Nothobranchius furzeri: one gene and its partner. The protein of the gene in region 1 interacts with the protein of each later gene in a pairwise test. Links are inferred from orthologs where the notes say so. Each region holds a gene or a part of one and is shown on either strand. Other genes may lie near its edges. The genes, in order: lhx9 and khk.

Region 1 (4,599 bases):
CCTTTCATTCTGTCAGTGTTTAGCCTGTGGTTCCCTGCACCGCGGCGGATCCTGGGAGAGCCCTCCTCCTTCCTCTCTCCAGCTCCTCGCCTCCACGTCCACTCCTGTTCTGGCCACGCTCTGGGAGTGACTGAGAGTTCCCTCTGTGTCATTTGAGGTGACCCAGAAATGAGAACTCCAGATGAAGCCTGGATGTGGGGCAATCCAGCCCGAGGAGCCATGCAGGCATCCAGGAGGACAGGAGGGCAGGCGGGCAGTCGTCCTGGCTGGCGCCATGCTGGAGCTCACAAACACAGCATTCCTTTCCGGGTATCAGGCGTGGAGAACGCCTGGTGTTGTGGTTCACTGTGAAACGGATCTCAGCGTTGCTGCATTATTGATGAGATACACTGTGATGTCAACCCAGGCTGAAGGAGCAAAGCAAAATGACTGTTAGCACTATGGCACATGATCATTTATGAAGGCAGCACAGAGGAGTCGTTAATTGTCACCCTTTTGCTCCCAGCTCAAGAGCTCACAAACACCGTTTTCTCTTCTCTTGTTGTCAGCTGAAATCTGCTCATCTACAGGCTCTTTCATTTGTTTATTAATGTTGCAGCCTGCACTTTATTCTGTTTCATTCATTCTTCTGTTTTAGCCTTCGTGAAGCTCTAATAAAATAAATACAGAAACAGGTTTTCATTTAATTAGGCTCCTTTTGAAAACAAAGATTTGTCATATTTAATAAACCTTGAATGAAAAAGATTTTTGTTTTTTTTATTCCTTTTTCTACAAAACTAAATTAGTATTTGAAGCATCAGTTCTGAATGGCATCCAAATGAAGCACATTAGAAAAAGACTATTTATTTTTACATTTTTTTATTCTGATTCGTTTCTTCGTATGTGGATTTTTTTTTTTTACATCAGAACAATTTTCGGAGATCAACCACTGTTTTCTTTTTTGCACCACGTGCTCCATGTGCGAAAAATCCATGAATTAAAGCGCACTTACAGGAGACCCTCTCAGTTTGGTGCTTGTCTATGTTTTCAGGGTGTGTGGCTGTGTTTGATTGATCTAGTTTGACTGTTCACCTATAAAAAATTTTAAAAAACTGAGTTCAATGACATTTTTACCTCAGTCTTCCTCGTTTCTCTTGAAAATGAAATCGGTGATTTTGTGTCTTTAATTAAATAAAATACGATTTTGCCCGTTTTTTGGTGCTTAAGTACAAAAATGATCATATTTATGCATTAGTCCTGCAGTTAAATAAGAAGAGTGCATCTTTATAATCCCTAAAAGTATCTTGATTATATTTAAGAGTAAACAACAGCGTGAAGACATATCCTCCTTTTTGATTTATTTTTATTTTTCTGAGCACATCCCAGCTCCTAACCCTTCCGAGTAGGCCATTGGCTCGTGACTTCCCCGTTTTCCTGTTTGCTGTGCTGTGTTGAGGGCTGCCTGCATGAGGGAGAGGAATATTTAAATGTCTTGTGTTTTAATTGACGCTCGAACGGGAGCTGTGCGCTCAGACACGAGGAACAGCCCCCCCCCCCCCCCCCCATCTACCGGCAGCAGCCTCTCCTCTGTGCGTGCAGTCCGCAGCTCCTCCGCCTGCGCGCCGCACAGGGATCTCACGCGCTGCTCAGCCTCAGGTAAGACCTTTCCTATCACTATTCAGACTCGGGGCAAAAATAACACACGGCAGGATTTGGGGTTTTGGCGCAGTTGAAAAAAAAAAAAGAAAAAACGAGAAGAGGAGCGCGGGAGGAGAAGCTGGCGACACTTTTGATGTCCGGTCAAACAGGAGTGATGGAAGTTGAGGCCGTCTGAAGATGCGCAATCGATGGATTAAAATTAATATTGGATGGAAATTTTTAAAACAAATGAGTCGGACCTTTAAAAATGTTTCATGTATTTTACCCTGTGTTTTGCTGGCGTTTTAACTTATGCGTCTGCTTCACGTGAGAATAAAAATGATGCTTTTGTGGCAACATTATTCAGCTGCATCACTTATGTACCTAAATAATTGATTTTTCGTTAATTCAATCGTTTAACGCAGTTTTATTTGCATTTTCTAACTTAGCTTCTCGTTTTAACCACATGATTTACTTCGACATCTACTAAAAATATTCTATTTACATGAATCATGAATTTTAGACAATTTAATTAGCTAAATCAAAAACAATTTTTATTTTGCACCAGAAATAAAAACATTTTCCTGTTTAAAAATATCGATTTGATATTATTTAACTTTCCTTCAAACTAAACGTTCCACATTTTATTGTTTTTGATCATAAATGCGCTGGTTTTTGTTGTCCCTAGAATAAAAGTCCACCAACGCAGTAAAAGTAGTGATTCAACACCAGTTTTAAAGGAGGTCACGAGCACACGGCAGTGGCAGGTATAATATGTTAATTACATAAAGAAAGAAACAAAACTAAATGAAGAGCGCGTGATAGTTCCCTTGGTGCCAAAATGCCTCCTCAGTCAAACGCAGCGTTGGAGGCGAACGGTCACAAACGCGTTTTTATTAAGCAGGACAATAAATGGAAATAAAAACAAACACTGAAAAAGACGCAGGTGCCTCAAAATAATCCGTGAGGATGTTCCGCTCGATCTTCTTGTGGTGTCTTTGTCCAGGCAAAACGTTTTGTCCTTTTTTTGAGTCCACTTTCGCCGCTTTGTGGCTGCTGCTGAGACACCGACAGGGAGCAAATTACCGGCGTGCTTTATTTTTTATTTATTTATTTATTTATTTGGGGGGGAGAACAGCTGCAGCTCCCTCCGTCCAGGAGGGTTCAAGCTCCGACTTATAGCGCTGCTGTCAAGGGGCCTCCAATTAAAGCCAACACAACTTCCCAGTGTGTGTGTGTGTGTGTGTGTGTGTGTGTGTGTGTGTGTGTGTGTGTGTGTGTGTGTGTGTGTGTGTGTGTGTGTGTGTGTGTGTGTGTGTGTGTGTGTGTGTGTGTGTGTGTGGAGGGGGGAGGGGTTGAGGTGGTGGCCCACATGATAATGCTCTTCAGATGAAGCCTCCACACCTGGATCCCCCGAAGCTTCTTGCTAAAATCAAACCAAATGAATTTTGACCATAAACATGATTAATTCTTCTATCTTCGCTGCTGAAGCTCGTGTTGCGTTTGGAGCTGCCTCGTTTTTGCCAGTTTTCTCCACATCTGGCCTCTAATAGTGGTCGGTCTGAAACCACTTCCTTTTATTGTCATTGTCATAGTTTTATTTGGCGTTTTTACGTTTTTAACACGTGACACTTAACTTCACTGCAGCTTCTTCTGCATGTCCTGTACACTCTGTAGCGTTTAGTGAGATAAGGTCAGACGTTTCTAATAATAATGATTCCTCTGGGGCAGACTAGCTGGGAGATCCTATTTGAAAAATGCCGTTTTTACTTGAAAATTTCTGTTCTAGAAACAGGAAATCAACATGTCGTTTGTCAGATTGAGATTCTTGTAGGTAAGCACTGACTCCTTCATTAGCTGAAAGAAGAAACTAATTCCTGTTCAAACATTTCTACAAATAAACATTATAGGGTTTTTTTTAGATTCAAATAGGTTTATTCGGTCAATTATTTTACACATATTATTTTCCTGTAATTTTGTTTTAAAAAGAAGAAATAAACACGTGACATTAATTTTAAAATGAAATTCTAGTTTGTTTGTGTTTAAAAATAAATCCTTGTTTAATGTAAACGGTCCCCTCCTCCTAGCCTGTCACTGATCACTGCCACGCCCCCAACACACACTTTGATTCAGACCAACTTAAACTGAGAATTCAGAATTTTTCTAAATAAAAGCCACAGCTGCAGATGATTTTCAGATCGTTTAATCACGCCCCACGACAAAAACAACTAACTATTACATCAGAAGTAAAAGATTATTATTTGAGTGTATGCAAATTTGCAGCTTCTTTAAAGATGGAGAACAAAAGCAACGTGTTTCATACAGAAGTGGTCCTTCTCATGCCGGCATCGAGTTTATTTCATAAATTATTGTATTTTTATTTAAGAGTGACAGCTCTTTGTTGGTGAATAGTAAATCAGCGGTGATGGTGGGAGAGGGAGGTAGAGAGACAGCCAGTCAGTGAGAGGTGAGAGAGGGGGGAGTGAGGGAGAGGAACTCCTCCTACCAAATTGTTCAGACTGGGCCGGCTCTGCTCTCTTCACAAATAGGACACGGTTCTGAAATCCAGGCAGTCCCAACCTGACCTCCAAGCACCGAGGAACCCCCCTCTCCCTGTCTGGGAAACAAGGGAGAGAGAGAGAGAAGAGAGAGTGAGTAAGAGAGAAAGAGAGAGAGAACAACAACAAAAAAAGAAGAAACACAAAAACTTTGTGTCATTATTTTTGGAGAGCGCTCGCACTGACGCACCCTCCCCTCACCCCTCTCCATCCTACAGTCACACCGTTTTTGTCGCATCATTTGGACTATTTACTTTTGATTTTTGATTTTTTTTTTCTTCTTTTCTTTTTGCCCTCCCTGGAGGAGAGACAATCCCGGGCAGCAGGAAGGAGTTGGTGCAGCACCACCACCTCTCCTCCTGTCCCACCCATGCTGTAGTCTGCGTGGAGGAGGTGGTCTGACTCTCCTGCTTCTGTTCCTGTG
Region 2 (4,407 bases), on another chromosome or scaffold:
TGTAGCCACAGCTTCTGTAACGTCTGTCTGAAGAGCTGGTGGAGACAGAAACCAACACACAGGTCGGGTGTCCAGTTTGTAGGAAAATATCTGCAACAGATGATCCACCCTGTAACCTAGCTTTGAAGAACCTGTGAGTCCCTCATGAAGGAGCACCATCAGCAAGCTTCAGAGGGTCTCTGCAGGCTGCACTCTGAGAAACTCTGACTCTTCTGTCTGGACCATCAGGAACCGGTGTGTGTCATCTGCAGAGACTAACACTCCGGCCACAGATTCAGACACATCGATGAAGCTGCTCAGGATCACAGAGAGAACCTCCAAACATCTCTGAAGCCCTTAAAGGAGAAACTGGAGCTCCAGAAGAAAGTTGAAGTTCAGCTTGATCAGACACCAGAACACCTGAAGGTCCAGGCCCGACTCACACAGAAGCAGATCAAGGAGCACTTTAAGAAGCTTCACCAGCAGATGAAGAGGAGGCCAGGCTGGCTGCACTGTGGGAGGAAGAGGAGCAGAAGAGTGGGATGATAAAGGAGAAGATGGAAGCTCTGAGCAGAGAGATGGCAGCTCTTTCAGACACCATCAGAACCTCAGAGGAGGAGCTGAGAGCTGAAGACGTCTTGTTCCTGATCAACTACAAGGCTGCAGTGGAAAGAGTCCAGCGCTGCCCCCTGCTGGTTTGTCCACAGCTGCCCTCAGGAGCTCTGATGGACCAGGTCAAACATCTGGGCACCCTGGCCTTCAACATCTGGAACAACATGAAGAATGTAGTATCCTACAGTCCCATCGTTGTGGACCGAAACACAGCTCATCAAAGACTCATCGTGTCTGAAGATCTGAGCAGAGGTGAACAGAAGCTCCTGATTATCCAGAAAGGTCTAATAAGTGGTGATCCTCTGTTCTGGATTCTCAAGGTTTTAACTCAGGGAACCTCAGTTGGGACGCCGATGTTGGACACCTTACACTGTAAAATGTGTGGAAAAAATGGGAGACATTGATTCTGGATTATGGGAAATGTGGTTCACAGTGGATAAATGCTACACATGGTCACCATTAACTCCTTATGTCAGCCTGAACACCAGACTGTAATATATATAACTTTTAACAGTCTATTCATCCTGTTGGGCTGTCCCCATCTTTGCCGGTTTTCGAGTCGCCTGAAAACCCACTTCTTCCACTTGGCGTTCCCTGAACGTGTAGAACCTCTTATTTTTTATTTCCTGTTTTTATTGGTCACTTTAACCCTTGTTTTGTCCATTTGTTTCTACTTCAATGTTTTACCCTCTTTGCACTATTTTAATTGCTTTTATTATCTACTTATTCATTGTGATTTACATTTCTTATGAACTGTGAAGCGCCTTGGGCTCCCTGACAGGGTCGCGGAAAGCGCTTTATAAATAAAGCTTTGAATTTGAATCCTTGAACAATACTGTACATAATATGAATTGATTTTTTATTTGCATGAATAATGTAAAATAAATGATAATATAAAACATAATAATGAACGTTGTTTTAGTTTGTTTTTATCAGACAGTAACCGCGAGCTTTTATTTTTTTAGTCTCCACTCACACTAGGTTCCGTATCTTATTGTTGTGCTAGTTTTACATGAGGGAACGTTTGTTTCAAAGTCCAAATTGTTGGTTCGCGACGCGCTGAGGATCCTGTCTGGGTTTGGGTCAACATGGAGGAGCAGCAGAAGATTCTGTGTGTGGGATTGGTGTGTCTCGACATCATTAATGTGGTTGATAAATATCCGGAGGAGGACACCGACAGCAGGTTAGCGTACAGGCTAATGCTAACAACCACAACAGGTTTAGCGTACAGGCTAATGCTAACCTCCACAACAGGTTTAGCATACAGGCTAATGCTAACACTGTCACTTCACTGACAGGAGGCTAGGCGAACACCTGATGATTTCATCCAGCTTCCCAAACTAAAAAAAATAAATAAATAAGGATTAGACTGTAAGGGTGTCTGTGGTGGGGCTGTAGTAATAAATGTGAATTTATTATTTCACTCTGTTTTATGACAGTGAGAACACAGCAACAACAATAATAATAATAATAACAATACATTTCATTTACAAAGCATCTAACATCTGTCAAGCAAATCTGTGGAGCTAAAAAAAATCACAATGAAGATTTGGTAGCTGAGCTGCTAAATCACTTATAAATAACTGATGAACAAATAACTAGTTCAGTGTAAATGTGAAGGGGTGAGTGGGGGCAAAGGTTGTCTCTGCAAATCAATAACTGCTCATAAACATGTTGCAACAACAGAACCTCACATCTGAATGGATGGATGAGTTACACACTGCAGGACCTAAACTAAATAATTGCAAATCAAACCTTTTGCCCAAGCCACCTGGAGATGTGGCCTGCCGGGGATCAAACCACTCACCTTCTGATCAGTGGAGGATCACGTTCTCCATTCAGCCACAGCTGCCCTGTTAAAACTTGATTTATAAAAAGACTGAGTAGAAAGTTCAGCTTTTATTTTGGTAGTCTAGAGTCAGGTCTTTGGGATGATCAGACTGTAAACACACCACAGGAACTGGACTTCAGACTGGAACGTCTGGGTCTGTTGACTTTAGGAAGTTTTTTGTGGTCAGATGTTCATCTAAAGTACTGTGTCTGACCCAATACTCAGATTACTGATTAGAACATTAAACATCCGGTTCTGCTCTGATCCATCTCTTATTTCTCACCTCTGATGCTGTTGGGTCCTGCAGGCATCAGTGGACGGCTGTGTGATGTCATCTGTGTGTGTCTGCAGGTGTTTGTCTCAGCGATGGCAGCGAGGAGGAAATGCATCCAACTCATGCACGGTGCTGTCGCTGCTCGGAGCTCCGTGTGCCTTCATGGGTTCTCTGGCTTCTGGTCCTGTGGCTGAGTGAGTTCCGATCTGTTCATCTGTGGTTGGGTAGCTGTTGTTCTGATTGATGCTTCTTCTGTTAAACTTGAAACTTATCACGTATGGTTTGGGGTGTTTAATGTTAGAGCTGCTTCTGTGTTCTGATTTAAGCATCTCTTGATCGTATCCATGGCAACAACCACATTTCTTTTGTTGTGTTTATCTGAGTCTGTTTGCACCTGTGATGTCATCAGCTGTTAGCTGCCATCCATGTGTTTGATCCAGAGCTTGGTTGAGCCAGTACCAGGTTGTGGATGAACACTCGGACTTCCCTCTCTCCAGTTTATCCTGGTGGATCCCAAAGCATTCCCAAATACACCACAGAGGATTTCTAAACCTATCAACTGATCAGCAGGTCGACTCAGAACTGCATCATCAGTCAGAAACATGTTTCAGATCCACCGAGTCTCATTCCTCTAAGAATCGACTCGGTAGATTCTTAAACTCTGGCTGATCGATTGTGGACCGAGCCAGTCTCTGCAACAGCTTATGCCCAGAGCACCAGATGGTTTATTCTGAGCTGTGTTCACGTTGGCAGGTTTCCACTGCACACCTGCACGCAGCGTTCAGAGAGCTTGACAGAATAAGAGCTCGCTCCGGGAATGTGAAACAATAATTTTAATGATCACATTTTGTGGCTCAATCCCGACTGAAATACACATCAGATCTTACATCTCCCAGATCTAAGAGCAGAGTCAGCTGCAGCAGCTAAAACCAGCCCTGAGCTGATGAAGCACAGCTGTCCAGCTAAGCGTGTCTGGTAAATCTTCTCCAGGATGTGGCTCATACACATAAAGACCAGAAGAAGTTGAATCAGGCGTAATCCAGGTGTAAACAGATGCTGTGATCCATCCTAATGCAAGAACAGAGGCAGAGCTGCTCTTACAGAATCTGAGCTCCTCTGGTTTGGATGGAAAGGTGTCTCCTCTGTCCCCTGAGCAGCATCTGGGATGTCCTCAGTCAGGAGGAACTATTTACTGCTCAGGTGAGGACAGAGGAGGTGCTAACTGCTACTTGTCTGGACTTTTACTTTGGAATTCAGAAGGAATGTAAACAGTTTCCTGTCTTTAGTTTTATTTTGGAGGATTTTCAGAAGTTCTCCATCGACGTGTCGCTGATGTCTGAGCACGCTCAGTGCATGTCTCCAGCCTCCATGGTCATCAGCAACATCAGAACAGGAAGTAGAACCATCCTGCACATGAACAGGTGTGTGTGTGTGTGTGTGTGTAAGAGAGACTAACTGCCTCTGTTTTTTATAGTGTCGTCAGCATCCTAGAGAAGCTCCACCCCTCTCTGTTTCCTTTTGGCTGAGGTTTTATTTTGAAAGGGACATTAACATTTCCTGTTTGTCTCTGTCAGTTTCATTGTGGCAGACTTCTTACGCCGTGAAATTGACGTCTCAGCAGTGGTTTGGCAGGTCAAAGGTCAAACGCCATGTGCGTGTTGTGTGGTTTGTCCACTCAGCGGATCTCGAACCGTCTATCTCTACGACACGT

The links.
Region 2: the proteins of lhx9 (region 1) and khk interact in binary tests that used the Homo sapiens proteins (3 or more experiments, as listed by UniProt). The two-hybrid records come from large-scale screens. The link is inferred for Nothobranchius furzeri from reciprocal best matches to the Homo sapiens genes LHX9 and KHK.

The regions. Positions count from the first base shown.
Region 1 is NC_091748.1:66,527,341-66,531,939, forward strand, and holds the start of lhx9 (LIM/homeobox protein Lhx9), read left to right. Parts: upstream 1-1,531; 5' UTR 1,532-1,635; intron 1,636-2,925; exon of another isoform or gene 2,926-4,599. UniProt on the Homo sapiens protein: Involved in gonadal development.
Region 2 is NC_091743.1:76,895,396-76,899,802, forward strand, and holds the start of khk (ketohexokinase), read left to right. Parts: upstream 1-1,552; 5' UTR 1,553-1,679; coding exon 1,680-1,774; intron 1,775-2,773; coding exon 2,774-2,890; intron 2,891-3,982; coding exon 3,983-4,117; intron 4,118-4,270; coding exon 4,271-4,405; intron 4,406-4,407. UniProt on the Homo sapiens protein: Catalyzes the phosphorylation of the ketose sugar fructose to fructose-1-phosphate.